Linked DNA regions of Macaca fascicularis. The protein of the gene in region 1 interacts with the protein of each later gene in a pairwise test. Links are inferred from orthologs where the notes say so. Each region holds a gene or a part of one and is shown in the gene's direction. Other genes may lie near its edges. The genes, in order: MAGEA4, AMOT and UBXN6.

Evidence for each region.
Region 2: the proteins of MAGEA4 (region 1) and AMOT interact in binary tests that used the Homo sapiens proteins (3 or more experiments, as listed by UniProt). The two-hybrid records come from large-scale screens. The link is inferred for Macaca fascicularis from reciprocal best matches to the Homo sapiens genes MAGEA4 and AMOT.
Region 3: the proteins of MAGEA4 (region 1) and UBXN6 interact in binary tests that used the Homo sapiens proteins (3 or more experiments, as listed by UniProt). The two-hybrid records come from large-scale screens. The link is inferred for Macaca fascicularis from reciprocal best matches to the Homo sapiens genes MAGEA4 and UBXN6.

Annotation. Positions count from the first base shown.
Region 1 is NC_088395.1:157,988,928-157,998,558, forward strand, and holds the start of MAGEA4 (melanoma-associated antigen 4), read left to right. Parts: upstream 1-3,493; 5' UTR 3,494-3,510; intron 3,511-4,114; exon of another isoform or gene 4,115-4,133; intron 4,134-8,398; 5' UTR 8,399-8,467; exon of another isoform or gene 8,468-8,471; intron 8,472-8,546; 5' UTR 8,547-8,611; coding exon 8,612-9,565; 3' UTR 9,566-9,631. UniProt on the Homo sapiens protein: Regulates cell proliferation through the inhibition of cell cycle arrest at the G1 phase. Also negatively regulates p53-mediated apoptosis.
Region 2 is NC_088395.1:119,348,066-119,357,825, reverse strand, and holds the start of AMOT (angiomotin), read left to right. Parts: upstream 1-4,783; 5' UTR 4,784-4,968; intron 4,969-5,428; exon of another isoform or gene 5,429-5,808; intron 5,809-9,760.
Region 3 is NC_088393.1:5,193,370-5,203,190, reverse strand, and holds the start of UBXN6 (UBX domain-containing protein 6), read left to right. Parts: upstream 1-3,733; 5' UTR 3,734-3,849; coding exon 3,850-3,932; intron 3,933-4,696; exon of another isoform or gene 4,697-4,782; intron 4,783-7,762; coding exon 7,763-7,926; intron 7,927-8,341; coding exon 8,342-8,406; intron 8,407-9,368; coding exon 9,369-9,497; intron 9,498-9,821. UniProt on the Homo sapiens protein: May negatively regulate the ATPase activity of VCP, an ATP-driven segregase that associates with different cofactors to control a wide variety of cellular processes.

The DNA of each region.
Region 1 (9,631 bases):
CTCTGAAGTAGCAGGGGACTCTGGAGTCAGAGCTTGGAGTGATCAGTGCAAGACTGGTGAGGGCAGGCTCTGCCGGACGTCAACCTCAGGACCATAAGGGAGGGGTGGGCGTACCCCACTCCTATTCCCATCCCCCACCCGCATTCCCATCCCCCAGCCCGTTTCCATTCCCATTTGCACTCCCAAACCCATCCACACTCCCATCCCCCACCAGCGCCGGTATATTCCCTAAACCCCCACCACTTTCATACCGCCATCTCCCACACAAAAGTTCCCGCCCCCTCCACAACGTCACCTCTCCCTCCCCCATCCACGTTGAATCAGGTTCCGCTTCCGCTTTCAACCCAAGAAAGCCCCAGGTGCCCGGATGTGAGGCCACTGACTTGCGCACTGTGGGTTAGAGACAAGCGAGCTTCTCTGTGTGACCGGCAGCTTGGGATTGGCGGAGGGAAGCAGGCCCTGTGAGGAGTCAAGGTGAGACGCTGAGGGAGGACTCGGGAGTCCCCACCCCAGATAGACGACCCCAAATAATCCCGGACCACCCCTGCTGCCAGGCCTGGGCCACCCGTGGGCGGACTTCTGAGTCTGGGGCACCCACCACCCCACTGCCTCTGAAGTCACAGGGGACTCTGGAATCAGAGCTTGGGGTGATCAGTGCAAGACTGGTGAGGGCAGGCTCTGCCGGGCATCAACCTCAGGACCATAAGGGAGGAGTGAGCGTACCCCACTCCTATTCCCATCCCCCACCCGCATTCCCATCCCCCACCCGCATTCCCATCCCCCAGCCCGTTTCCATTCCCATTCGTACTCCCAAACCCATCCACACTCCCATCCCCCACCAGCGTCGGTATATTCCCCAACCCCCCACCACTTTCATACCGCCATCTCCCACACAAAAGTTCCCGCCCCCTCCACAACGTCACCTCTCCCTCCCCCATCCACGTTGAATCGGGTTCCGCTTCCGCTTTCAACCCAAGAAAGTCCCAGGTGCCCGGATGTGAGGCCACTGACTTGCGCACTGCCGGTTAAGAGAGAAGCGAGCTTCTCTGTGTGACCGGCAGCTTGGGGTTGGCGGAGGGAAACGGGACAGGCCCTGGGAGGAGTCAAGGTGAGACGCTGAGGGAGGACTCAGCAGGCCCCTACTCCACGTAGACGACCCCAAATAATCCCGGACCACCCCTGCTGCCAGGCCTGGGCCACCCGTGGGCGGACTTCTGAGTCTGGGGCACCCACCACCCCACTGCCTCTGAAGTCGCAGGGGACTCTGGAATCAGAGCTTGGGGTGACCAGTGCAAGACTGGTGAGAGCAGGCTCTGCCCGGCATCAACCTCAGGACCATAAGAGGGGGCTGAGCTTACCCCACACCTGTTCCCATCCCCCACCTCCTTTCCCATCCCCCACCCCGTTTCCATTCCCATTCACAACTCTTTCACTCTCCCACCCCCACCAGCAATCCTATTCTCCCCAACCCCCTACCACCCTCATACCACCATCTCCCACACAAAAATACCCCACCCCTCCACAAACCTAACCCCTCCCACCCCCATCCACGCTGATTCGGGCTCCGCTTCCGCTTTCAACCAAAGGAAGTCCCAGGTGCCCGGATGTGATGCCACTGATTTGCACATTGGAGGTTAGAGAGAAGCGAGCTTCTCTGTCTGACTGGCACCTTGGGCTTGGCGGAGGGAAGCGGACCAGGCCCTGTGAGGAGTGAAGGTGAGACGCTGAGGGAGGACTCAGGAGTCCCCACTCCAGATAGATGACCCCAAATAATCCCGCACCACTCCTGCTGCCAGCCCTTCGTTACCCATGGGCGGATTTCTGAGTCTGGAGCACCCACCACCCCCACTGCCTCAGAAGTCTCAGGGGACTCTGGAGTCAGAGTATGTAGTGATCAGTGCAAGACTCGTGGGGGCTGGGTCGGCCAGGCATCAACCTCACGACCAAAAGAGAGGGCTGAACGTACCCCAACCCTATTCCCCTTCCCTGATTCCCATCCTCCACCCTGTTCGCATTCCCATTCGCATTCCCAAACCCATTCACACCCCTATCCCCCACTAACCCCTATCCTCCCCAACCCCCCAGCACACTCATACCGCCATCTTATACCCAAAAATACCCGCCCCCTCCACCAACGTCACCCCTCCCACCCCCATCCACGTTGAATCAGGCTCCGCTTCCATTTCCAACCCAAGGAAGCCCCAGGTGCCTGGACGTGATGCCACTGACTTTTGCATTGGGGGTTAGAGAGAAGTGAGCTGCTCTGTGTGACTGGCACCTTGGGATTGGCAGAGGGAAGCGGGCCAGGCCCTGTGAGGAGTCAAGGTGTGACGCTGAGGGAGGACTCAGGAGGCCCCCACCCCAGATAGACGACCCCAGATAATCCCGGACCACTCCTGTTGCCAGCCCTGGGCCACCTGTGGGCAGACTTCTGAGTCTGGGGCACCCACCACCTCACTGCCTCTGAAGTCGAAGGGCACTCTGGAATCAGAGTATGGTGTGATCAATGCAAGATGGGCGGGGGAAAGGTTGGCCAGGCACCAACCTCACAACCAAAAGAGAGGGCTGAATGTCCCCCAACCCTATTCCCCTTCCCCACCCCCATTCCCACCCCCACCCTGTTCGCATTCGAACTCCTAAAAACCATCCACAATCCCATCCCCCACTAGCCCAGGTATATTCCCCAACACCCCACCACCTTCATACCACCGTCTCCCACCCCAAAATTCCCACCCCCTCCACCGTCACCCCTCCCTCCCCCATCCATGCTGATTCGGGTTCCGCTTCTGCTTTTAACCCAGGAAAGCCCCAGGTGCCCGGATGTGAGGCCACTGACTTGCACACTGGGGGTTAGAGAGAAGCGAGCTTCTCTGACCGGCACTTTGGGATTGGCAAGGGAAGGGGGCCAGGTCCTGTGAGGAGTGAAGATGAGATGCTGAGGGAGGACTCAGGAGTCCCCATCCGAGATAGACGACCCCAAATAGTCCCAGACCACTCCTGCTGCCAGCCCTGGGCCACCCATGGGCGGACTTCTGAGTCTGGGGCACCCACCACCCCACTGCCTCTGAAGTTTCAGGGGACTCGAGTCAGAGCTTGGGGTGATCAGTGCAAGACTAGTGAAGGCAGGCTCTGCCGGGCATCAACCTCAGGAGCATGAGAGAAGGCTGAGCTTACCGCACCCCTATTCCCATCCCCCACCTCCATTCCCATCCCCCCCCGTTTCCATTCCCATTCACAACCCTCCATCCCCCATCCCCCACCAGCAACCCTATCCTCCCCAACCCCCCACCACCCTCATACCACCATCTCCCACACAAAAATACCCGCTCCCTCCACCAACGTCACCCCTCCCACTCCCATCCACGCTTCCACTTTCAACCCAAGGAAGTCCCAGGTGCCCGGATGTGATGCCACTGACTTGCGCATTGGGGGTTAGAGAGAAGCTTCTTTGTCTGACCGGTACCTTGGGACTGGTGGGGGGAAGCGGGCCAGGCCCTGTGAGGAGTCAAGGTGAGATGCTGAGGGAGGACTCAGGAGGCCCCCACCCCAGATAGGCGACCCCAAATAATCCTGGACCACTCCTGCTGCCAGCCCTGGACCACCCGTGGGTGGACTTCTGAGTGTGGGGCACCCACCACGCCACTGCCTCTGAAGTCGCTGGGGACTCTGGAGTCACAGCTTGGGGTGATCAGTGCAAGACTGGTTAGGGCAGGCTCTGCCGGGCATCAACCTCAGGACCATAAGAGAGGGCTGAGCTTATCCCACCCCTATTCCTATCCCCCACCCCCTTCCCATCCCTCACGCTGTTCCCTTTCCCATTCCCATTCGCACTCCCAAACCCATCCACACTCCCATCCCTCTGCAGCACCCCATCCATCCTCCCCAATCCACCACCATCCTCATACCGCCGTCTCCCACCCCAAAAAGCCTGCCCCCTCCACCATCCTCATCCCTCCCACTGCCATCCACGCTGAATCGGGTTCTGCTTCCGCTTTCAACCCCAGGACGCCCCAGGTGCCCGGATGTGAGCCAATGACTTGCGCGTTGGGGGTCAGAGAGAAGCGAGCTTCTCTGTCTGACAGGGAGCTTGGGATTGGCGGAGGGAAGCGGGCCAGGCCCTTTGAGGAGTGAAGGTGAGATGCTGAGGGAGGACTTAGGAGGCCCCCACCCCAGATAAACGACCCCAAATAATCCCGCACCATTCCTGCTGCCAGCCCTGGGCCACCCGTGGGCAGACTTCTGAGTCTGGGTCACCCGCCACTCCACTGCCTCTGAAGTCACAGGCGACTCTCGAGTCAGAGCTTGGGGGGATCTGTGCAAGACTGGTGAGGGCAGGCTCTGCCAGGCGTCAACCTCAGGACTGTAAGAGAGGGCTGAGGGTCCCCCACCCCGTTCCCATTTTCATCCACACTCCCAACCCCATCTACACCCCCATTCCCCACCAGTACTCCTATCCTCCCCAAACTCCCACCACCCTGATATCCCCACCCCCAAACCTCTACCCCTATCCAGGCTGAATCACTGCCCTCATATCCCCACCCCAAAACCTCTACTCCCATCCAGGCTGAATCGGGTTCCAGTTCCACTTTCAACCCAGGGAAGCCCCAGGTGCCCGGATGTGATGCCAGTGACTTGCGCATTGGGGGTTAGAGAGAAGCTAGCTTCTTGGTCTGACAGGCAGCTTGGGCTTGGCAGAGGGAAGCCGGCCCAGGCTCTCTGAGGTGGCAAGGTGAGAAGCTGAGGGAGGACTCGGGAGACCCTCCCCACTGCAGATGGATGACCCCAAATAATCTAGCACCACTCCTGCTTTCAGCCCTGGGTCACTCGTGGGCGGACATCTGAGTCTGGGGCCCACCACTCCACTGCCGCTTAAGCCGCAGGGGACTGTTCAGTCAGAGCTTGGTGTAATCAGTGCAAGACTGGTGGGGACAGGCTTTGCTAACCTTCAACATCAGGACCCTAGGAGAGGGTGGAGCGTCCCCCACCCCATTCCTATCCCCTACCCTGTTCCCATTCCCATCCGCACTCCCAACCCCATCTGTACCCCCATCCCCCACCTGTGCCCCTATGCTCCCCAACACCCCCCACCAGCCTCATGCCCCCCACCTTCATCCCCATCCGTGCAGAATCTGGTTACACCCCTGCTTTCAATCCAGGCAAGCCCTGGGTGGCCGGATGTGATGCCACTGACTTGTGCATTGGGGATTAGAGGGAAGCGAGGTTCTGGTTCTGAAGAACGGCTTGAGATTGTCAGACAGAAGGGGGCCCAGGCTTTGTGAGCAGGCAGTCAGACTCTGAGGGAGGATTCAGGACACCCTTATCCCTGATAGAAGGTCCCAGCCCTGGACCATCGCGGAGGCTGACTTCTCAGGCTAGGCCGCCGCCTCCAGCTTCCCACCCCACCACCACCTGTCCCCACACCCGGTCCCCACAGGAGACTCTGGAGTCAGAGCGTGGTGTGACCATGGAAGGGATGCTTAGGAGAGGGCACTATCTGGGCTCTGCCAGGCATCAAGGTCAGGAATCTCAGGGAGGGCTGAGGGCCTCCAAGAGTCCACTGCAATCCCCACTCTCATGACCCACCCCCACTTCATTGCCATTCCCACCCCTATCCACCACTCCTATACCTCAACCCAGATCTCCTTCCGCTCTGCCTTTCCACCCACACCCCTCCCACCGGAACCCCCACCCTGGCAGAATACAGTTCAGCCCCTGCTGTCAATCCAGGAAAGTCCCTGGTACCCGAATGTGACGCCACTGACTTGCTCATTGGGAGTTAGAGAGAAGCAAGGTTCTCCTTAGGGGGAGCTTGACATCAGCAGAGAGAAGTGAGCCCAGGCTCTGAGGAGGCAAGGTGAGAGGCTGAGGGAGGTCTCAGAAGGGCCCCCCCCCAGATAGAGGGCCCCAATTAATCCAGCACCATCCCTACTGCCAGCCCTGGACCACCCAGGAGGCCGACTTCTCAGGCTGGGCTGCTCCCCACCACCGCCCCTGTTGCAACCCGTTTGTTTAAGCCACAGGAGACTCTGGAGTCAGAGGTTGGTGTGATCAGGGCAGGGCTGGTTAGGAGAGGGCATGGCCCAGGATCTGCCAGGAATCAAAGTCAGAAACCTGAGAGGGAACTGAGGTCCCCCAAGATCCCACTCTAACCCCCATTCCCACAAATCCCCTACCACTTCGCTGCCCCATTTCCCATTCCTTGCCCTCCAACCTCACCAGGCAGAATCCAGTTCCCCTTCTGCTATCAATCCAGGGAAACCCCAGACTTGGTGCTGGGACGTTTTGGGGGTCAGAGAGAATCGAGGGCATGGTCCTGAGGGGATAATTGAGATTGACTGAGGAGAGCAGGCCCAAGCTCTGTGACGAGGCAAGGTGAGACTCTGATGAAGGACTGAGGAGGCCCCCACTCCAGATAGAGGACCCCAAACAATCGAGCTCAGCCCCTGCTGCCAGCCCTGGACCACCCGGGGGAAGACTCAGGCTAGGCCGTCCCAGCTCCCACTGCCACTAAAGCCACAGGGGACTCGAGTCACAGCTTGGTGTGCCCAAGGCAGGGCCCAGGCTCTGCCTGGCATCAGAATCAGGACCCTGAGAGGGAATTGAGGGACCTACATTCCCACCCCTTTCACATTCCAGCATCCCCCCACCATCCAGATCCTCAACCCCATCCCCAATTCCGTTCTGCAGAATCCATTTTTTCTCCTGCAGTCAACCGACGGAAGACCTGGGAATGATCAGGCACTCGGATCTTGACATCCACATCCAGGGCTGAAGGAGGGAAGGGACTTGGTATCATGAGCAGAGCCTCAGGGTAGCAGAGGGAGGACCCTGGCTCTCCTGGGAGACGAGGAAGGACTCAGGAGACCCAGCATCCCAAGGCAGGGAGCCCACCCCACCCCGTCTGAGAATGAGGTGCCTCCTCTTTTAGCCTCGAGAATCCAAGGGATGGTGACTCAGGTCAGCAGAGGGGTGGGTTCCAGCCCTTCCAGGATCAAGGAAAGGAAGACGAGGGAGGACTCAGGGGTCCTTGCATTCCAGATCAGTGGACACCTGGGCCCTGGGAGGTCCTGAGCAAGGTAGCCACATGTAGCTCATGCTTCCTGCACCTTCGAGGTCACAGAGAGGAGAGGGCTATGGTCTGAGGATACCTGTGGCTCAGAAAGACGGGACCCCGCAGAGTCTGGCTGTCCCCTGTTCTTAGCTCGGGGGGACCAGAGCAGGGATGGCCTTATGTGCCAATCTTACTTGTACCATAGGCAGGAAGTTGGAGAACCTTCAGGAAGATGAGGTCTTGGAGTAAAGGGGCAATATCTGCTCATCTCAGGGGGTTGGGGGTTGAGGAAGGGCAGGCCCCGTTGGGAGCAAACATGAGTGACCCACAGGAGGCCATCAGAACCCTCACCCCAGGACCAAAGGGGTCAGCTGTGGACTCCCCGCACAGGGGTGACAGGATGTGGCTCCTCATTTCTGATTGCAGATCTCAGTGAGGTTAGGACCTTGTTCTCAGAGGGTTACTCAGGTCAACACAGACCTCTATCTGGTCAACAGACACAGTGGTCCCAGGATCTGCCAAGAGTCCTGGTGAGGAATGTGAGGGAAGATTGAGGGTACCACAGGGCCAGAACGCAGACGACGACTCCACAGAAATCAGCCTTGCTCCTGTTGTCACCCCAGAGAGCATGGGCTTGGCTGTCTGCTGAGGTCCCTCTCTTGTCCTGGGATCACTGATGTCACGGAGGGGGAGGCCTTGGTCTGAGGGGCTGCACCCAGGTCAGTAGAGGGAGGGTCCCAGGCTCTGCCAGGAGTTGAGGTGAGGACCAAGCAGGCTCCTCACCCAGGACACATGGGTTCCAATGAATTTTGACATCTCTTGCTGTCATTCTTCAGAGGACCTAGGCACATGTGGCCAGATGTGGGGCCCCTCATGTCCTGTTTCCTCTCAGGCATGTGAGTGCTTGATCTGAATTTCTCAGGCCAGCAAAACGGTGGAATCCAGGCCCTGCCTGGAGAAATGTGAGGGCCCTGAGTGACCACAGAGTGGACCATCCACTCTATGAGAGTGGGGACCTCACAGAGTCCAGCCTGCCCTCTTGATAGCACTGAGGGACTGGGGCTGTGCTTATAGTCGGCACCCTAAGGGCCCATGGATTCATCTCCTAGGAGCTCCAGGAACAAGGCAATGAGGCCTTGGTCTGAGACTTGTGTCCTCAAGTCACAGAGCAGAGGGTGCACAGGCTGTGCCAGCAGTGAATGTTTGCCCTGAATGCACACCAAGGGCCCCACTTGGCATAGGACACGTGGAACTCCAGAGAGTCTGACCTCACCTCCTGTTAGTCCTGCAGAATCGACCTCTGCTGGCCGGCTATACCCTGAGGTGCTCTCTCACTTCCTCCTTTAGGTTCTCAGGAGATAGGCCAACCCGGAGGACAGGATTCCTTGGAGATCACAGAGGAGCACCAAGGAGAAGGTCTGTAAGTAAGCCTTTGTTAGAGCCTCCAAGATTCGGTTCTCAGCTGAGGCCTCTCACATGCTCCCTCTCTCCCCAGGCCTGTGGGTCCCCACTGCCCAGCTTTTGCCTACACTCCCACCTGCTGCCCTGACCAGAGTCATCATGTCTCTTGAGCAGAAGAGTCAGCACTGCAAGCCTGAGGAAGGCGTTGAGGCCCAAGAAGAGGCCCTGGGCCTAGTGGGTGCGCAGGCTCCTGCTACTGAGGAGCAGGAGGCTGCTGCCTCCTCCTCCTCTCCTCTGGTCCCTGGCACCCTGGAGGAAGTGCCTGCTGCTGGGTCAACAGGTCCTCCCCAGAGTCCTCAGGGAGCCTCCGCCTTACCCTCTACCGTCAACTTCACTTGCTGGAGGCAACCCAATGAGGGTTCCAGCAGCCAAGAAGAGGAGGGGCCAAGCACCTCTCCTGACCCAGAGTCCTTGTTCCGAGAAGCACTCAGTAAGAAGGTGGATGAGTTGGTTCATTTTCTGCTCCTCAAGTATCGAGCCAAGGAGCTGGTCACAAAGGCAGAAATGCTGGAGAGAGTCATCAAAAATTACAAGCACTGCTTTCCTGTGATCTTCGGCAAAGCCTCTGAGTCCCTGAAGATGATCTTTGGCATTGACGTGAAGGAAGTGGACCCCACCAGCAACACCTACACCCTTGTCACCTGCCTGGGCCTCTCCTACGATGGCCTGCTGGGTGGTAATCATATCTTTCCCAAGACAGGCCTCTTGATAATCGTCCTGGGCACTATCGCAATGGAGGGCGACTCCGCATCTGAGGAGGAAATCTGGGAGGAGCTGAGTGTGATGGATGTGTATGATGGGAGGGAGCACAGTGTCTATGGGGAGCCCAGGAAACTGCTCACCCAAGAGTGGGTGCAGGAGAACTACCTGGAGTACCGGAAGGTACCCGGCAGTGATCCTGCACGCTACGAGTTCCTGTGGGGTCCAAGGGCCCTGGCTGAAACCAGCTATGTGAAGGTCCTGGAGCATGTGGTCAGGGTCAATGCAAGAGTTCGCATTTCCTACCCATCCCTTCGTGAAGCAGCTTTGAGAGAGGAGGAAGAGGGAGTCTGAGCATGAGTTGCAGCCAGGGCCTGGGGCGGGGGTAGGGGGGTGGTGGCTGGGCTGGGCCAGTCATCT
Region 2 (9,760 bases), about 39 Mb from region 1:
ATTTATTTTTTCTAGTATACGTGCTTGCCTCTGCTTTTGTTCATAAATGCATTTAAATCATTTAGTTGTTCACTAGGCAACTAGAGGAAGATGTGCACATTCCATACTCCTAGTTCACTTGGTAAGTGGGAGAGAATGCCATTCAGTGCAAAGCACTATGGTTTCATCATCTTTCCTTCAAGAAGAATCTAGCCAGGGATTGGGAAATAGACCATAAGGTATACATTCCTTCCCATTTTTCCTGTACATTGGACAAAAATATTGCACACAAAGGGAAGACTTTTTAATTAAGACATTTATTAGTTAGCAACATGAAAAACTGGAGATTGTATATTAAAAACATTTGACTTCTGGTTTCTCTTGAAAACTCAGAAGTTGGTCACATTGGACTGCCCTTCCCTGTAGTGGCAATCAGGCTGCCCCTTTCACATGGGTTCTGCCTTCTTGCAACCCCTATCATTGGCGTTGTCTCCTGACACTAAGCCTAAGGGTTATTACCTGTGTGTGTGTGTGCATGTGTATGTGTGCGTGTGTGTGTATGGTAAGAGATACATAACAAAATTTACCATTTTAACAATTTTTAAGTGTACAATTCAGTGGCTTTAAGTACATTCAAAATATTACACAACTATCACAATTATCTAGTTCCAAACCTTTTCATCATCCCAAACAGAAATTGTACTATTAAACACTAACTTCCCACTCCCTCTTTCTCCAGTCCCTGATCACCACTACTCTACTTTCTATCTCTATGAATTTACCCATTCCAGATCCCTCGTGTAAGTGGAATCATACAATATTTGTCCTTTTGTATCTGGCTTATTTCATTTTGTGTAATGTTTTCAAGGTAGACATTTGATTTTTTTCAATGGACTTTATTTTGTACAGCACAGATGTTGATTTTTATTGTGCAATAAAGGCATATTTTAAGAAAAAAAATAAAGGTCGGCCGGGTGCGGTGGCTCACGCCTGTAATCCCAGCACTTTGGGAGGCCGAGGTGGGCAGATCATGAGGTCAGGAGATTGAGACCATCCTGGCTAACACGGTGAAACTCCTTCTCTACTAAACAAAATACAAAAAATTAGCCGGGCGTGGTGGTGGGCGCCTGTAGTCCCAGCTACTCAGGAGGCTGAGGCAGGAGAATAGTGTGAACCCGGGAGGCGGAGCTTGCAGTGAGAGGAGATCACGCCACTGCACTTCAGCCTGGGCAACAGAGCAAGACTCTGTCCCCCAAAAATAAAAAATAAATAAAAAATAAAAGTCAAACAAGACAGGTAGTTTGGGATGAGGAATCTTGACTTCTGAGCTTAAAATGATCCTCCTTTTTTCCATATCGTTATATGGAGGTTTTTAATGTATAGTATCTAGGCAACTCAGTGTCTTTACACAGGTGTTTTACAGCTAGTGGTTAATTTTCCTGGTCTTCCCCAGAGGGCTTTCTATACTTTATAGTCAGGATATGAAGACACAGGGATGCTGTGGGGATTAGTCAAATGTGTGTGGCACAGTTTGTTGTAAAAACGAACTCTCTGGAACTAGTTTTCACTCTCTGCTCTTAACTTCCACAGCTTTTACTGTCAATACCATTCATTTGGCACTTAGCACATGCTTGTTAGTTGTCTTTTTATATCCTTGAAGGCAGGAGCTAAGTCTCATGCCTGTTTTTTCAGTCTTGTCTATAATAACAGCTCAATCAATGTTTGTTGATGTTGGCCTCCCCCTCCCCCTCTCTTTTAAGTAGCGCAGGCAATGCATAGCTTTAAATCCAAACTCAACTCGGTTTAAACAAACTGAAAGGTTTTCAGGGTGAAAACAAAGAAGTCTTGCGTGGCAGGATAGAAGGCTTGGAAGACCTGGGTTAAACAGAAGTGCCAAAAAACTGTTTGCCACAGGTTAAGAAGTGACTTGCACACAGCGTGACTCACCATTAAGTTCAGAGTTCTGCTAACTCTACTCCATCAAAATTTGGAGAAGAGTAATAACCAAGCAGGGTTTGATGAGTGGATGTTAAAGGAATTAAGTGTTTTAGAGGTTTCCATTGCTCCAGTCCATTGCTCTACAGCACCAGTCACTGTGGGGAAAGGAAAGCATGTTAGAAAAGTGTTTTGAAGGTAACTTCAAGACTAGGGGCAGGCATACTACAAATGTAGCCACCAGGCCTTTGTTACCAGGATTTTTTTTTAAATAGCATCTTCCATAGTAGCAAAATATGGGAAATAGCCCAAATTTGCCTCCATTTCTTTTTTAGAGATAGAGTCTTGCTATGTTGCCCAGGCTGACCTTGAACTCCTGGCCTCAAAGGATTCCCCTCCCTCAACCTCCCTAGTAGTTTGAACTATAGGCATGTGCCACCACCGTGTCTGGCTCCCAAATCCCCATTTAATAAGGGGATGAGTCATGAGTAAAGGAATTTTGGCACAGCTATGCAATAGAATACTAAGTTATAATAAAATAAATAAGGTAAACATAGTTATCCTGAGATGGAAGAATATTTCAAATACATTATTGAGTATAGAAATGCAAGGTGTGCCATGATTAATGATTCCACTTGTAAGGAACAAAAAGGGAATATGCACTCACGCTTGAATATGCAAATAATCTATTTGTAAGATGACATACAGTCATAAAGAGAATGGGACTATGGGAGCAGAGTGGTGGAGAAGAACTTTTTCATTGTAGTCTTTCAGTACTTTTTTGTTTGGTGTTTTTGTTTTGTTTTGTTTTGTTTTTTTGAGACGAGTCTCGCTCTCTGACCCAGGCTGCAGTGCAGTGGCGCGATCTCAGCTCACGGCAACTTCCGCCTCCCAGGTTGAAGTAATTATCCTGTCTCAGCCTCCCAAGTAGCTGGGACTACAGGCGCGTGCCACCACCTGCGGCTAATTTTTGTATTTTTAGTAGAGACGGGGTTTCACCATATTGTTCAGGCTGGTCTCCAACGCCTGACCTCAAGTGATCCACTCGCCTCAGCCTCCCAAAGTGCTGGGATTACAGGCATGAGCCACCGTGCCCAGACCAGTACTGTTTTATCTGAATTTTTCCATGTGCATGTTTAACTTTTTTCACTTGTACAGCATTGATTTTAACAAATATCCTGTTGCCACTGTGATAGGTAGGGTAGTAGTCCTGCAGCATATACCTGGCCCCCCATCTAGCTCTCCTGTCTACTCCAAATAACAAGGCTGAAATAATCTTTCCTTGCTTCACAAACCAGGTGTCTCCATATCTTGAACATTCAAAAACTCCCTTTCTCCATGAAAAATTACCCAAATAACCTCACTTCATACATAAACAGAACCATAACGATAATCATTTTGTGCACACTCCTGCTTCTGAATCTTTCCACAGCTCCTGCACACTCCATGACATGCAATCGTCCACTACTTTTCCTGAAGTCAGAGTTGGATTCTGAGCCCCTATTTACTGTGTGATAGTGTTTCCTTTAAGCACACTTCCTCTTGCATGCCTTGATCCACGGCCCCCCAGATGGCTCCCATTAGGCAGGCTTGAATTGGATGTCACTCTTTCATTGGCATGAGTCATTATAATAGCCTTGCGCTGTCAAGGCCTTTACATTTAGGCTTGTTTCCTACTTGAAATGTTTTCTAGGAAATATGGATCTGTAGAGAATGGTGGTTTCCATGGTAAATGTTCCTTCATATTTGTTTTCTCAAGTTCACTTCGGAGATACACAGCATGATTTCCTCTTTCAGTACCAGAACCACAATAGCTTTAAGTTGTCATGAAACTGTTGAACGTTAAAAAAGAAATCTCACCCACCCTGCTTAGAAAAGGGGTAATTTATTATTCTAACTGCAGGGAGTCAACTTCATATCCACCCCAAAATTGTAGGAAAAGAGTTGACTTTTTAAAATAAAGCCACAAAACCTACACGACCTTGGATGTAAATGCTTAAAACAGATGAGCAGAATATTGGTCCCCTAACACATCTAAGACTCTCCATTATGTGTCATACACAAGTAGGAACACATACATATGTGGAGTGCTTTATAGTTTTCACACACATTTTCACACCAGTGTCTTTAAGTTAATAGGGCATGTCTCATAGCATTTATTTACAGGTAGAAAAATTAAGGCTGAGAAGTTAAGCCACTTAACAGAAGTCACACAATTAGCTAGCAAGTGCCAGGGCCCCAAATGAATTCTTCCTTTGGTTCCAAATTCCGTGTTATTTTGCTACGCGGACACTGTTTCTTTGTGCCTTCGTTTTCCCAGATGTAAAATGGTAGATTTTCCGTGTCCCAGGATGCTGTTCTCAGCCCTCTCTTGTTTTTAACCAATGTCAGTTTTTTTCGCAGCCAGCAGAACACCACAACGACACTTCATGTACTTTCCCCCCTCCTGATTTAATGAATTAAGGGGGAAGAAAAGTTACCTATTCGCAGAGAGCTGGACACTACCATAAACATAAAGGCGTACCAGAGTCGACCGACACACTGTTGCATTCTTTTATGAGACTGAGAAATAAAGCGTCTCATCTTTCTCTTCCCAGCAGTAGCTGGGGTAGAACACAGAACTACACAATAGCCTCTTGTTTAGTTTTATTAATTTTGAGGACGGGTGGGACAAAGGGATCAGACTGGCGACTCCAGGGCCCAATCGCAAGCGTATACTAGGCCAGGCCGGGCCAACGGGTAGCTGCAAAAGAATGGTGGGCGGGACTTACGCTTCAGGGGCCCACTCCGCCCAGGCCGGCGCTTCCAGCCCGCCCAGGGGCGGAGCCTCTGCAGAGCCCCGCCCACGACCCCTCCTCCCTCGCCCCTCAGCTTCTGCGGCCCGCCAACGGGAGCCGGGCAAGCGCCCGGGGTGGGGGAGCGGAGGAAGAAAGGAGGGTGTCTCGCAGAGCTGTGACCTCGGTGGGAGCCTGCTGGTAATAGGAAGCAAGAGGGGAAGGAAAACGAAGGAGCACTGCACTTTCCTGCATTATTTTAAGCAGTCTTTGGTGGAAGGTGCTTTTCAGCATTTCTATTATTTGTTTTTCTTCCTCCAGCAGTGGGGCGGGGAGCTGCACTGCCTCTCCCACGCGACTATGCCGCGCAGTTGCCGCAGATTATTATTGTAGTCTTTTGCAAAACCCTTTCCTTCTTCCCAGCCAGTCACGGCGCAGACTCTCACGGCTACGGCAACCGAGTCGTGCCCCTCTAGTGGGAAGGCGAGAGCGAGGGTCCCCTGCTTTCGCCGGAGCTCCCGGACCCCGCGGTTCAATTGTTTGAAACTTCCCCGCCCCCCGGCCCCGCCTCTCTTCCGCGCTCCCCCCACTCCTCACTTCCAGGGTCCAGGCAGGCTCCCGCCCTTCTTTCCCCGCCCTCTACTCCGCCTTCCTCCCTAGTCCACCCCCCCCGCCCTGCTCCGGGGCGGTCCTAGCCGCTCACCGCAAGAAGAAAAGCCACCCGTGCGTCCCCCTCCCCTACCTCCCATCCTTTGCCCAGGAGCTGCCTTGGCAGTCACGCCCCTTCCTTCCGAGGAGCTTTCTGGCTGCCTAAACTGGTAGACCCTCTGAATTACTCCTCCGTCTCCTCTCTCTTTCGCCTCCTCTTCTCTTAGTTCTCTCCGCCTCCCCCCCAACTACCACCACCTCCAGTCAGTCTCGCCTCCGACCATCCGCTGCTCCACCCTCTGGCCCGGTATCCTGCCTGTCCACTGCCACCAAGGAGAGCCCGGACGGAGCAGCGAGGAGGGGAGCAGCCGGGAGTTGGGGCTTCCCCCCTGCCCATCCCTGGCCGCTGGCCCGGGACCGAAGCCACTTGAGCGAGCAGAGAGTCGTCACCTTGTCTTCGTTGCCTTCAGGGGTAGGAGACGCGTGGTTACTTTTCGCGGGGAACTGGGGCAGGAATCCATGGTGGCATGAACTTGGTCGTGCCCTCGGCGTGAGTGAATCGATCTAGGCGCGTGTGGGAACGTCCGTGTGTTCTACTTTCTTTGCAGCTCGCCATTAGTTTTTTTGGATGTGCAGCAAGTTAAATCGGTTAGAGTGTGCGCTGCTTTCCCGTCCTACTTAGGTGAGGAGATGCTAGTGGGTACCACTACTAGTTGGTACTTTTACTTCCTTACCTCCTGGGGTTCTTGTGGGTCTCTAGGTAATTAATCACATGGAGGAGCTAAAGACCCGAGGGAAGCTGAAATCTACATTTAGCCCAGCATGCATGTCAGTGCTTATCTCAGATAACTAGATAGGTTTCTCCTAAGTGCTTAGGCTTGGGGTGGGGACTCACACTCCCTGAGGCGGGAGCAGGAGGGGTAGGACCGTGAATTCTTGAAGTTTTAAAGTCTGTGTAATCTAAAACACAAGGCTACTCTTTGAGATGTGTGGTGGTGTTTGTGGTGCCTGTGGTGGTGATAGTAATGGTGAGGAGAGAGTTGCCCCTATCTGCTTAGAAGATCCAAAGATGTTAGTAAATAGTTTTGGGGGATCAGGCAGGTGTCTTGAGGGTCCAAGCCTGGGCCACTGCACGTTGGTGCTTCGACAGTAAGATGGGCTTCATGGGTATGTGAAAATGAAGAGAAAGAAAAGTGGGAGGGAAAATAACAGTCTTCAATAGACTGTGAGCAGTTCCTGGTAAATTGCCACTAATAATAATATAATAATTTGCATAAAGGGACTAAATAGAATTAAATGAGCAAGGAAAGAGAAAGTTGGTGAGAAACAGCATTTTCAATCTCTAGTGTATGTTTTAGAACGAATTTTTCAACAACCTGGGATGTTTAGTTCAGTTATCCTCCCTCCCCGCCATGAAGAGTGGAAGTTGGGAGGCAGTTTAAAACTTTTATGAATATAACCCTCTTCTCCCATTGAGAGAGGAAGATAATTAGTCACCATAATCTTCAATGATGAAGGGCTAAGGGTATTTAAGTCTCCTTGAGCTACGCTTTGTGAAAAGTTCTTTCTCAGGCCAGCCTTTGTGAAGCCTTCTCAGTTAGACCTTTCAGCACCCTCATTTAGTAGCTAAGAATAGTTTGAAATGCCATTTTGAATGTGGTATACATTTTCATCCATCTCCCACCTATCTTCAATTGGACAAGTGCGTCAAGGTTGTAAGTGATGGTGTTCAAAGACTTATTACTGAGATGTCCTTAACCTATTGCTTATTTGGGAACACATTATTTACATACATTTAAAACTAACTTTGGTTGATTTTAATGAGGGAAAGGAAAGTAGGAAGGTAAAGAAGGAACGTTACAGGGTGACAATTTTAAAGGCTATCCTGTTTCAGATCAGCTGGGAGGGAAAAGCTGGCCTGACCAAACTACATTTTATAACTAGCCTGGGACATTTTAACAGCCAGGTGGTTGTAGAGTAGTTGCCTCTATTTACAGATGATAACTCAGGTTCCAACTATTCTGTATGGGTTTATCCGGCGTCATTGACAGACACTTTCTGGCACTACATCATACTTCATTTTAAATTACTTCTTTCCTTGGAAAAGTTTGTGACTTTGTAAAATTGAAAGTGCTTTTTCTACCTTCATGGTCTAGATGTGAAGTAAGCCTCTGACCACGATTGGATGTGGAGTCACTTTTACATGAAATTTGCAGATCTGTTTACCTATTTAAAAGATTTTAGAAAGGGAATTTTAATAATTCATAGTCGATGCAGTTTTGGATTTGGAAATTAAAATCTCATTTCTGGTTTATGAATTTGGATTTATTAGACTAATTCCCAACTAGGACATTTGTAGAGTTGCTTTTTCTTTCTGAGGTTTTGTAAAGACCGCATCAGACTCTAGAATGCTTTAAGAATAGCCTAATCAGAAGGCAGGGGGATGGATACTATGACCTTGAGGTCCCATTGAGTGCCAGAATTCTAAGTGGGTACATCTGCTTCTGTGCCTCTCCCAAGAGCCCTCTCCCAGGGCCTGCGCCTTCTTTAAAAGGGTGTCTTTGTAATTAAGCGGCCCTTCTTCCCCATCCCCCTTTCTTCTTTTGATCCAGCTTTTTAAGGCCTTTTTTTCCATTTGGAGACAAGAGGGGTTTCTCACACTTTCCTGTTCCCCTCTTAACGCTTCTTTTCCTTTACCCCAGAAAAGTCGCCTGAAGTTCTCAGGATGGTTAGAAGTTGTTTTGTTTTGTTTGGGGCATGGGGGTGGAGTGGGGGAGTTGTTACCAATGAGGAGAAATAGAGGATATATTCCCTCTTGGGAAATGCTTGCGACCAGGTAGCCTCCTCCATGGAGACTGAGCATTTGGAATGCATGAGAACAGTCTATTCTTGGGGACTGTCTGGTAGAAATTGTCCTTTGCACCCATTAAGCCCAGCTTAAACACACTGAAAGGGGTAGGGAGAGGTGTGTGTGGTCGTAGTGGAGCCTTTTAGGATGGTAAATGGGTAAATGTTTCCAAATCTCCTATTACATCATCTCTTTCTCCCATGGATTCAGTAGGTTTAGTGATCTGCTTGACAAGTTAATTAGCTGGGGACTAAACCAATTTGTTTAGAATTGTGATCCATTGATTTCCTGTCCCCAGGAATTTTTGTTGGTGTTTTACTATGATGTGTTGTCTTTAGTCTTACTTACTTTTCCCTCCTTGCCGCCTTTTGTGGACTTTGGTCCAAAATCTAGGGTTCCACCCCCAAGTCAAAGGTTAGAATTTTGTCCCAGGAACTAAGGGGGTATTAAACAGGCTAGCCATACTACATTACTCTCCTCCATGGTGGGCTTCTGACCCCTTTTAACCCAGAGAAAGGAGGGAAGTCGCCCCTTCCACACACAACACACACAATCTGAACAAAAAAAAAAAAAAAAAAAGAAAAAGAAAAAGAAGTCATTTGCTTTATAAAAGAATCCACAACAGGTTTCTTTGTAAGTACTAGCTTTCCTAGTTAGTGCCTTTAAACTATGACTTGATATATAAAAATTCACTCTAACTGGGCCTTCTCGGAAGTATATTTATTGCATAAAGGAATACATAAGAATTTGTAATGATTATCACTTAAATTAAGTGAGGCCATTATTTGGCCTTTGAAATCTTTTTGTTATATGGAATGGAGTTAGTTAATTGTCTAAATCATCCTGGCTTGTAATAATGCTGGCCACGTTAGCTCCGGCCTACAACTGCTTGCAGAAGAAAGCTAGTATTACTTTTTGAAAATAAATCAGACTTTATAGATTTTGAACAATTCTAAGGATGAGACTATCCACCCCATATAGGTAAAATATTTTATTTCCAGTTACTGTGTTTTACTAACCCAGGGATCTAGAAAGTTATTTCTAGTAAATAATGGCTCCTGATGCCACTTTTAACCTAAGAATCTGCAATAAGATTTCCTAGTGAGCCTACTGGTGAGAAGGACCTGGGCTCTAGGCCCAACCGTAACTCGGTTTACTACCTCTGTTAAGTTTTTTTTTTTTTCCACTGTAAATTGTGGATTTGGACAGGGTGATTTTGAGAGCCAGTTCTCATAAGTTTATGGTTTTCTTTCTAAGCCTCAATATCGAGTATGAATGTGAATGATTGCTACTAGAATGAAGTGCAACCGTTGTTAGAAATTCAATCATCTAGTCATCATGTTAAAAAAAAAAAAAGATCCTGTAAGGATATATGAATATAGATGCATCATGTTTTATATTTTAACAACCCAACATTAAGAAGCTAAGACTCGCCGGGCGCGGTGGCTCAAGCCTGTAATCCCAGCACTTTGGGAGGCCGAGACGGGTGGATCACGAGGTCAGGAGATCGAGACTATCCTGGCTAACACGGTGAAACCCCGTCTCTACTAAAAAATACAAAAAACTAGCCGGGCGA
Region 3 (9,821 bases), on another chromosome or scaffold:
GGGATTACAGGTGTGAGCCACTGTGTCCACCCTTTTTTTTTTTTTTTTTTTTTAAGACATGATCTTGCTCTGTCACCCAGCCCCTTCCGAGGTGGCTGCTATATGTGGCTGTTGGCGGGAGGCCTCAGTTCCTCACCACGTGGGCCTCTCCGTGGAGCTGCTTGAGCTTCCTCCCATCATGGCGGATGGCTTTCCCCAGGTGAGTGAGCCCAGAGAAAGAGCAAAGAGGAAGCATCAGTGAATTTTATGTCCTAGTTTCAGAAGTCCCACATTGTTGCTTCTGCCTTATTCTATTGTTAAAAATGAGTCACAAAGTCTAGCTGACAATCAAAGAGAGAAGAAATAGACTTTGCCTTTCTTTTTTATCTTTTTTCTTCCTTTTTTATTTTTTATTTGTTAAGATAAGATCTCACTCTGTCACCCAGGCTGTAGTGCAGTGGCAGGATCACAGCTCCCTGCAACATTAACCTCCTAGGCTCAAGTGATCCTCCCACCACCCACTCCCTAGTAGCTGGGGCTGCAGGTGTGCACCACCACACTGGCGTAATATTTTGTATTTTTTGTAGAGAAGAGGTCTCACCGTGTTGCCGATTATGGCCTCAAACTCATTAGTTTGGCCAGGCATGGTCAATCACACCTGTAATCCCAGCACTTTGGGAGGCCAAGGCAGGCAGATCACTTGAGGTCAGGAGTTGGAGACCAGCCTGGCCAACATGGTGAAATCCTACCTCTACTAAAAATACAAAAATTAGCTGGGTGTGGTGGTGAACACCTGTAATCCCACCTACCTGGGGGGCTGAGGCAGGAGAATTGCTTGAAACTGGGAGGTGGAGGTTGTGGTGAGCCAAGATCGCAGGCACCACTGAACTCTAGCCTGGGAAACAGAGCAAGACTCCGTCTCAACAACAACAACAACAACAACAACAACTCATGAGTTTAAGCAATCTGCCTGCCTCAGCCTCCCAAAGTGCTGGGATTATAGGCATGAGTCACTGATTCCAGCCTGTCGTTTTCCATATAAAATATTAAGAAATGATGAAAAGAGTCTGGGCACAGTGGCTCATGCCTGTAATCCCAGCACTTTGGGAGGCTGAGGCAGGTGGGTCACTTGAGGTCAGGAATTTGAGACCAGCCTCGCCAAGATGGTGAAAACCCGTCTCTACTAAAAATACAAAAATCAGCTGGGCATGGTGGAGCATACCTGTAATCCCAGGTACTCAGGAGGCTGAGGCACGAAACTCGCTTGAACCTGGGAGGCGGAGGTTGCAGTGAGCCTACATCACACCACTGCACTCCACCCTGGGCGACAGAGTAAGACTCTGTCTCAAGGCCGGGCGCAGTGGCTCAAGCTTGTAATCCCAGCACTTTGGGAGGCCGAGACGGGTGGATCACGAGGTCAGGAGATCGAGACCATCCTGGCTAACACGGTGAAACCCCGTCTCTACTGAAAAATACAAAAAAAACTAGCCGGGCGAGGTGGCGGGCGCCTGTAGTCCCAGCTACTCGGGAGGCTGAGGCAGGAGAATGGCATGAACCCGGGAGGCGGAGCTTGCAGTGAGCTGAGATCCGGCCACTGCACAGAGCGAGACTCCGTCTCAAAAAAAAAAAAAAAAAGAATTAAAAAAAAAAAAAAGACTGTCTCAAAAAAAAAAAAAAAGCAACAACAAAGAAAAGAGTAGTACAATCAACTCAGTATGTTCTTTTTTTTTTTTTTTTTTGGAGTGCAATGGCGCAATCTCAACTCACTGCAACCTCCACCTCCTGAGTTCAAGCGATTCTCCTACCTCAGCCTCTCAAGTAGCTGGGATTACTGGCGCACACCACCACATCTGGCTACTTTTTGGATTTTTAGTAGAGATGGGGTTTTGTTATGTTGGCTGGGTCGGTCTTGAACTTCTGACCTCAAGTAATCCACCCGCCTTGGCCTCCCAAAGTGCTGGGATTATAGGTGTGAGCCACTGTGCCCAGCCCAATTTTTTTTCCTCTTTTAATAAGACAGGGTCTGGCTCTTTGCCCAGGCTGGAGTGTAGTGGTGTGATCATAGCTCACTGCAGCCTCAAACTCCTGGGCTAAAGCAATCCTCCTACCTTGGCCTCCCGAAATGTTGGGACTGCAGGCCTGAGTCACTTGTCCGACCCATGTTATTTCAATTTCAGTCTTAGAGTGGGCTGTTTCCTTACCTGGAGGCCTCGCCTCCCTCAGTCTCTGTGAATCTCATTCCAACTCCTTTTTTGTTTTGTTTTGTTTTGTTTTTGTTTTTGTTTTTGTTTTTGTTTTTGTTTTGAGACGGAGTCTCGCTCTGCCGCCCAGGCTGGAGTGCAGTGGCCGCATCTCAGCTCACTGCAAGCTCCGCCTCCCGGGTTCACGCCATTCTCCTGCCTCAGCCTCCCGAGTAGCTGGGATTACAGGCGCCCGCCACCTCGCCCGGCTAGTTTTTTGTATTTTTTAGTAGAGACGGGGTTTCACCGTATCAGCCAGGATGGTCTCGATCTCCTGACCTTGTGATCCGCCCGTCTCGGCCTCCCAAAGTGCTGGGATTACAGGCTTGAGCCACCGCGCCCGGCCTGTTTTTGTTTTTTTGAGGCACAGTCTCCCTCTGTTGCCCAGGCTGAAGTGCAGTGGTGAGATCTCCGCTCACTGCAACCACCACCTCCCGGGTTCAAGCGATTCTCCTGCCTCAGCCTCCCAAGTAGCTGGGATTACCGGCGCCGGTAGAGACAGGGTTTCACAATGTTGGCCAGGCTGGTCTCAAACTCCTGACCTCAAATGATCCGCCGGCCTCGGCCTCCCAAAGTGCTGGCATTATAGGCATGAGCCACCACGTCTGACCCCCAACTCCCTTCTTTGGAGGCTTGTTTTAACTGTCACTTTGTGTATCTTCTTTGCGAATCGCACAGCCCAAAGTACGCCACTATTAACTGGTTTCTCTGTCTTGTTCACCAAAGTGGATCCCCAGGTCCCAATCGGATGCATCCTCTTAAACAGCTTCTACCTAGGGTAAGTGGTGGTGGTGGTGGTGGTGGTGTTGGTGGGGTGGGGTGGGGGGCTTCAGGGACCAAAACAGGGCCAGAAGGTGGGGGCCTCCAATACCCCACATTAAATTGGGACTTTATCACGTAAGCTCTGGGGAGACAGGGAAGGTTGGATTTTTGTTTGTTTTGCTTGAGACAGGGTCTCTCTCTGTTGCCCAGGCTGGAATGCGGTGGCTTGATCACAGCTCACTGCAGTCTCGACCTCCTGGGTTCAAGTGGTCCTCCCGCCTCCGCCTGCCAAGTAGCTCAGAGGTGCGCGCCACCACCCTCGGCTATTATTTTATTTTACTTTTTTTTTTTTTTTTTTTAAATAGAGACGAGGTTTTGCCATGTTGCCCAGACTGGTCTCCAACTTCTGGAATCAAGCAATCCTCCCGCTTGAGCCTCCGAAAGTGCTGTGATTGCAGGCGTGAGCCACCGTGCCCAGCTTAGGTTGAGCAGCGAAAGGGACAGGGCCCAGTGCTTTCTCTGCGAGGTTCAGTCGTCCTGTCACCGTCTGTCACCGTTTGGGGAGCGCCACGGAAGCTGCCAGGCAAGGCACTGACTCTAATCGAGAGGCGCACTCGTCGCCCTGGCAACGGAGTCCCGAAGAACCACAGAGATGCGGCTCCAGCGTACAGAGCGGCCGCCTGGGCCAGCGAGGCACCGAGCGCTAGAGAGGCACTTCTAGCCTATTGTCACGTGGTCGGCCTCGGGAAGGCGGGACTTCCGGCGGCGCGGTATTTTTTTTCCGGTGGCTGGTCCCGGGCGGCCCCTCCCCGACTGGGCCCTGTGCCCCCCGCCCCCGCGGCCCCTCGCCGCCGGGCCAGCCGCCACCATGAAGAAATTCTTTCAGGAGTTCAAGGCCGACATCAAGTTCAAGAGCGCGGGACCCGGTCAGAAGCTCACAGAGTCCGTGGGGTGCGTGAGGAACGCAGGGGCGGCCGGGGAGAGGGGTCTGGGGCCTCGGGCGGCTCGGGAGATCGGAGAGGGCGAGGGGCTGGGGAGCGGCAGCCGAGAGTCAGGGGAGGGGGAGAGGCTCCGGGGGCGGGGCAAGCGGGGCCGAGGATGGGCGTCAGGGGGAGGGGAGAGAGATCTGGGGTCAGGGCAGGAGGGGGCGGGTGTGAGCCGGGGGCGGGGCAAGGGAGGCGGGGGGAGGGGAACATGCGCAGGGGGCGGGGCAAGGGGGCCGGGTGGGAGGGGATGTCTCGGGGGCGGGGCCGCAGGAGGGTCCGAGGCAGTGGCGGGGGATTAGGGCGGCGGGGCTGCAGGAAGTTGGGGGTCAGTGGAGCGACCCTGGGGGAAAAAAGGGATGATCAGTTCTGAGACGGGTGATAAGGGAGAGGTCTGGGGACCCGGCTGGTCCTTAAGTGGCCGGGATGATTTGGGGGAATCTAGGTGACCATGGATGAGAGCTGAGCTTGGAGGAAGACGCACAACTGTGGGGTGGGGTGGTGGAGAGTTGTTCTGAGGCATCCATGGGAAGAGGGGTTCTGGACTTGGGATCTGGAGCACGTGGGAGGCTGATGGGAGACCAGGAAGAGTCTGGAAGGCCAAGGAGGCCGGGGTGGGTAGCGTCTTCAGTCACCTGGGAGGGGCTGAGGAAGGTGTGTGAGGAGACTGGAGGTGAGGGACTCTGACAGATGGACTGTGACACGGGAGGGGCCTGAGAGGAGAAGACCGGCGAGATTGACGCGTCTGAGCAGGTTGGGAGAAAGGCCTTCTCTGCGAGGCTTCTCTGCCAGGTCACTGTGCCAAGTGGATTATGGAGGTGAGAGGGGAGGGGAAAGGAGATAAGTGCCGGGCAGGCTTCCGGATCGTCTAGGGAGGACTTGGAGAGAAGGGCCTGAGCAGGGCTGAGCCAGCTGGGAGGGCAGGTGGAGGGCCGGGAAAGAAGTGGCGCTGGAGAGGGTGCGAGGCTGAGGGCTGCTGGGCTGAGAAAAGGGAAGCTGGAAGAGCTGGGGCTGCTGCAGGGAGCTGGCTGGCCAGGGGGTGGTGGAGACTGATGGAGAGTGACTGAGGAAGGAGGTCAGCCAGGCAGCCAGGGTAGGGGTCTGTAAGCAATAATGGAAGGGATTGTGAAGGGGTGGGGGCTGGGAGGGGGTAGGAGGAGAGGCAGGGAGGTGGCAGGAAGTGGGGGTCAGGGAATCACGGGTTGGTGGGGTGGTGATGGAGGTAGGGGCATAGCGAGGAATTCAGGGTTCCTAGGGGAGAGCAGGAGAGCAAAGGCTGAGTGAGAGAGGGAGGGGGGTCAGGGAGAGAAGTGGACAAATGGGGGGAGCCCTTCATTGATTCAACCAGTAGTGGATGGGGTTAGGACTGGGCGTGACAGGAAGGATGCAGGGCATCAGGGTGATGGCTGGGTCAGCCCAGAGCCTGGCGGAGAGGGGAAGGTCAGAGGGGAGACTCGGGAAGGGAAGGGGTGCGGAGGTCCTCTCTGGAGCGAGACTGGATATCCAGGGTGTGTGGGGCGTGTGGGCACCAAGTCCTGTTTTAGGCTGCAGTGGTGGACAGGAGAAGGCCTCTGCTGTCCCAGGGCTCACCTTCTAGAGGGAGCTGATGGACAAATAAACCAACAGACCTCAGAGGAGGGCTCAGGCGGTACCCAGGGCCTTGAAGGAGGGTGAGCAGACGCCATCAGGTGGTTTGGGAAGGCCTCTCCCAGGACACAGTGAGACTCAGCCGTGGGGAAATCAGCCCCCTCCTTCTCTCCCTGTGGCAGCTCTAGCCCTTTCCAGATCCCCTGTCCTCCTCCCTCCCCGCAGGAGAACACTGTGGGCATAAGGCGCAGACAGTGCAGGGCCTTGCGGCGGGGAGCAGCTGGGGTATGGGAAGAACCGCGGGGAGCCCAGGGGAGCCAGGCCAGGGGAGGGCAGTGGGCCAGGCCGGGAAGGGCTCTCCGGCCGAGGGAGGCTTTAGGATTTCGTGGTGGGGGGGCGTCGTGCAGTGGAGTGATGCTGACGCTCCCTGGCTGAGGTTGCAGAAGGGTCCCTGTGGCTGCCCAGGGCGGGCAGGGTCCATGACCGGTTGGGGTGAGGTGCCCTGGGAAATGCCATTTTGTTGGAAAGACCTAGATATCGGATGGGGCTGGGATGGGTCTTCATGAGTCATCTCCTCTTCCACCCAAGATGCTGCGCTGTGGGAGGACTAGATAGGCAGGGGTGGGCACGAAGCTAAGCCTCGAGACGAGGAGGGAGGGCTGCCCGAGTATCTAAGCAGAGCCAGAGGAGTACAGGGCTTGAACTGAGAGCCTGGCCTCCAGGAAGTTTTAATAGACTTACGACATGGAAAGTGACACAGTCCCTGAATTCACGGGAGGGGCCCGAGAGGAGACAGGCGAGACAGACGCATCCGAGCAGGTTGGCAGAAAGGGCTTCTCTGCCAGGCCACTGTGCCAAGTGGATTATGGAACCCTCCTTGGTGTAGGGCTCAGCAGGGCGGAACCGCGAGTCCATGAGCTCTTGGTACTTGCACAGCCCCGGGCCTGGCATGGAGTGGCCAGGGCGAGGCTGGTTCTGCTGTCCGCTGACCCCAGGGTCCTGCCACAAGGGTGGTGTGGCATGGGGCACATTGCCCGGACTTCCTGACCCTCTTGGGTTTGGGAACGGGATGGTGAGGCCTCCCTGGCAGCTTGTTAGGAGGAGTCAACCAACCAAGCCGACCGGCTCCCAGCAGGGGGCCCAGCACACAGTAGGTGCTCAGCAAACGAAGCTGTGACCTGAGGGTGGAGACTCTCACAGCAGGGAGTGGGGGAGGATGTGGCATCCCTTGAGTCTCCTCAATTCCTGAGGATGTGGGCTGGGTGCTGTGGCTCATGCCTGTAGTCCCAGCAGTTTGGGAGGCCCTGGTGGGAGGATCATTTGAGGCCAAGAGTTCGAGACCAACCTGAGCTACACAGCGAGACCCTGTCTCGATAGAAAAATTAGTCATGCGTGGCCGGGCGCGGTGGCTCAAGCCTGTAATCCCAGCACTTTGGGAGGCCGAGACGGGCGTATCACAAGGTCAGGAGATCGAGACCAGCCTGGCTAAATACGGTGAAACCCCGTCTCTACTAAAAAATACAAAAAACTAGCCGGGTGAGGTGGTGGGCGCCTGTAGTCCCAGCTACTCGGGAGGCTGAGGCAGGAGAATGGCGTAGACCCGGGAGGCGGAGCTTGCAGTGAGCTGAGATGCGGCCACTGCACTCCAGCCTGGGCGACAGAGCGAGACTCCGTCTCAAAAAAAAAAAAAAGAAAAATTAGCCATGCGTGATGATGCTTGCCTCCAAGTCCCAGCTACTCGGGAGGCTGAGGCGGGAGGATTCCTTGAGCCTGGGAACTCAGGGTTGCAGTGAGCCGTGATCGTGCCATTGTACTCCAGCATGGGTGACAGAGCAAGACCCTGTCTCAAAAAGAAAAAAAAAAAGGCCCTGAGGATATCAAGGTGCCTTCGCCTCGGGAGGGGTGCTGCCACCCCATTTTACAAACGAGGATGCTGAGGCCCAGTGGGGCAGGACTTGCCCTGTGGTGCAGAACTGAGCGGAACCAGCATCTCCTTCCTCCAGGGGCTCTTCCGCTTGCAGAAGAACCATCTGGTGGCTGCGGGTGGCCCCTGGGAAGCAGGCGTCCTGGCCCGCATAGGCAGGGACACGTCTGACTGGTGGTGCTGGTGGCAGGAGCTGGGGAGCAGCAGAAGCTCCCCTGTGTGACCGCACGTCAGGTTTGCCGGCCACCTCAGGAGGATACACTCGCTCTCCCTCGGTCTGTCCCCAGGGAAAAGGCCCCCAAACAGAAGTCCAGCCAGCCGGCCCCGAGGCCGCCCCGCCAGGGACCCACCAATGAGGCACAGATGGCGGCCGCTGCCGCCCTGGCCCGGCTGGAGCAGAAGCAGTCCCGGGCCTGGGGCCCCACGTCGCAGGACAGCATCCGAAACCAGGGTGAGATGTGGCCCGCCCCGGGCCCAGGTCGGGGCTGTTTGAGGTTCCCAGCCTTAGTGCCTGGCCCTGGACGCAGAAGTCCAGGGCCTGGAAGCAGCTGTGGGGGTGTGAGGGTCACCCTTGGGAGCGACTCACCAAGGGCAGGTGCTGGGGGAAGGGCAGCTTCCTGGGGAGCGGGTGGGAGCAGAGACTTGGAGCAGAAACAGGGACTGCGCAGGCAGTGGGGTGCTGGCTCAGGCTGAGGGGTGGGTGCAGAGCGAGTCCCGCAGGGGACCTCCAGCCTGACCTCCAGCAGCAGCAGGCTGGGGTGTTGTGCATGGCTCACGGGCCCACCCCAGGAATGAGGGGGCTCGGGCCAGGACAGAGGCGAGCTCACCACCCTGGCTCTGCTTCTCCTTCTTGGGCTGCCTTCCAGTGAGAAAGGAACTGCAAGCCGAAGCCACCGTCAGCGGGAGCCCCGAGGCCCCAGGGACCAACGTGGTAAGAACAGCCACTGGTGGCACTGTCCCACGCTGAGGGGTGGGGACAGCTTGACTTCATCGTGGGGGAGATGTGGCCACTGCCCTTGGGGCTCCAGGGTGGTTAGGAAACCTTGCCCTGCAAGGTGGAGGCGGGTTGTGGTGGAACATGGTGTTGTCCGGACCTTCGGGGCTCGGCAGCTGAGGATGCTGGCTCAGGCCTGGAGAAGTGGGCCTCAGGTACATAAGCCCATCGCTCCTTCCCCTTAACCCGTTAAGGTGGATGCAGTTACAGTTCTCACTTTTCAGAAAGAGAACCGGGGTTGAGAGAGGTCAAACCAGCTGTCCTCTCTCCTATTCCCCCAGAACCAGCAAAGACAGGACTGGCTAGTCTGTGGCTTCAGAGCCTGTCCCCTACCACTGCCTGCTCCTGCCTGGCTTGGAGGTCAAGGGGCTCCGTGGAGACGGGTGGAATCAGGGAGGCCTTCCTGTAGGAGGTGGGCCTTGAGAGCTCTGCTGAAAGGAGTTCTAAGCAGCTTGATCCTCGAGGATTCAGTGAATTTTAGCACGCAGGGACCTTAGAGATGGCCTAGAAACGGAGGCCCAAAAGTCAGGCCTTGTCCAGGGCACTGTGCCCACGGACTCCCACACAGAGCTCCTTCCTCACCAGCTTGGGGACAGGACCAGCAGGAGCCCAGCTGCCGTCTGCTGAGTGCTTCCTGCGTGTCAGAAGCTGCTCCGTGCTTTCCTTTCCTTACCTTGTTTAGTTCTGAATAGGCCCCACAGGGACATTTGACATACCAGGGAACAGGCTGAGGGATCCAGTCACTTGGCCAGGGTGTCTCCCATGGCCACCAAGTGGAAGGGACAGCATGGGGGCTAGAGATGTCTGGTTCTGCGGGCCACACTCAGGACTGTGGTGCTCGGCGAGGCTCGGGGTGGCTTCTGTCCACAGTCCAGACTCGGACACTTTCACCGCCCCAGGTATCTGAGCCCAGAGAGGAAGGCTCTGCCCACCTGGCCGTGCCTGGTGTGTACTTCACCTGTCCGCTCACTGGGGCCACCCTGAGGAAGGACCAGCGGGACGCCCGCATCAAGGAAGCCATTCTTTCGGTGAGTGGCGCCCCGTGTGCTCCTGCCCCAACCTGTAGCTTCCTGTGCCTGCGCCACCCCCCATCGGAAGCCCAGGTGGTACAGGTCCCTCCCAGAGTCCCCAGAGCCCACTGCTAGTAGTGAAGTCCCTCTTCTGATACCCCGAATCCAGGCACACCATTGTGTATGCATCCGTATCTCCTCTCTCCCAGCTAGGTTTGTCTTTCTTTTTGAGATGGAGTCTCACTCTGTCACCCAGGCTGGAGTGCAGTGGTGCATTCTCGGCTCACTACAACCTCTGCCTCCTGGATTCAAACGATTCTCGTGCCTCAGCCTCCCAAGTAG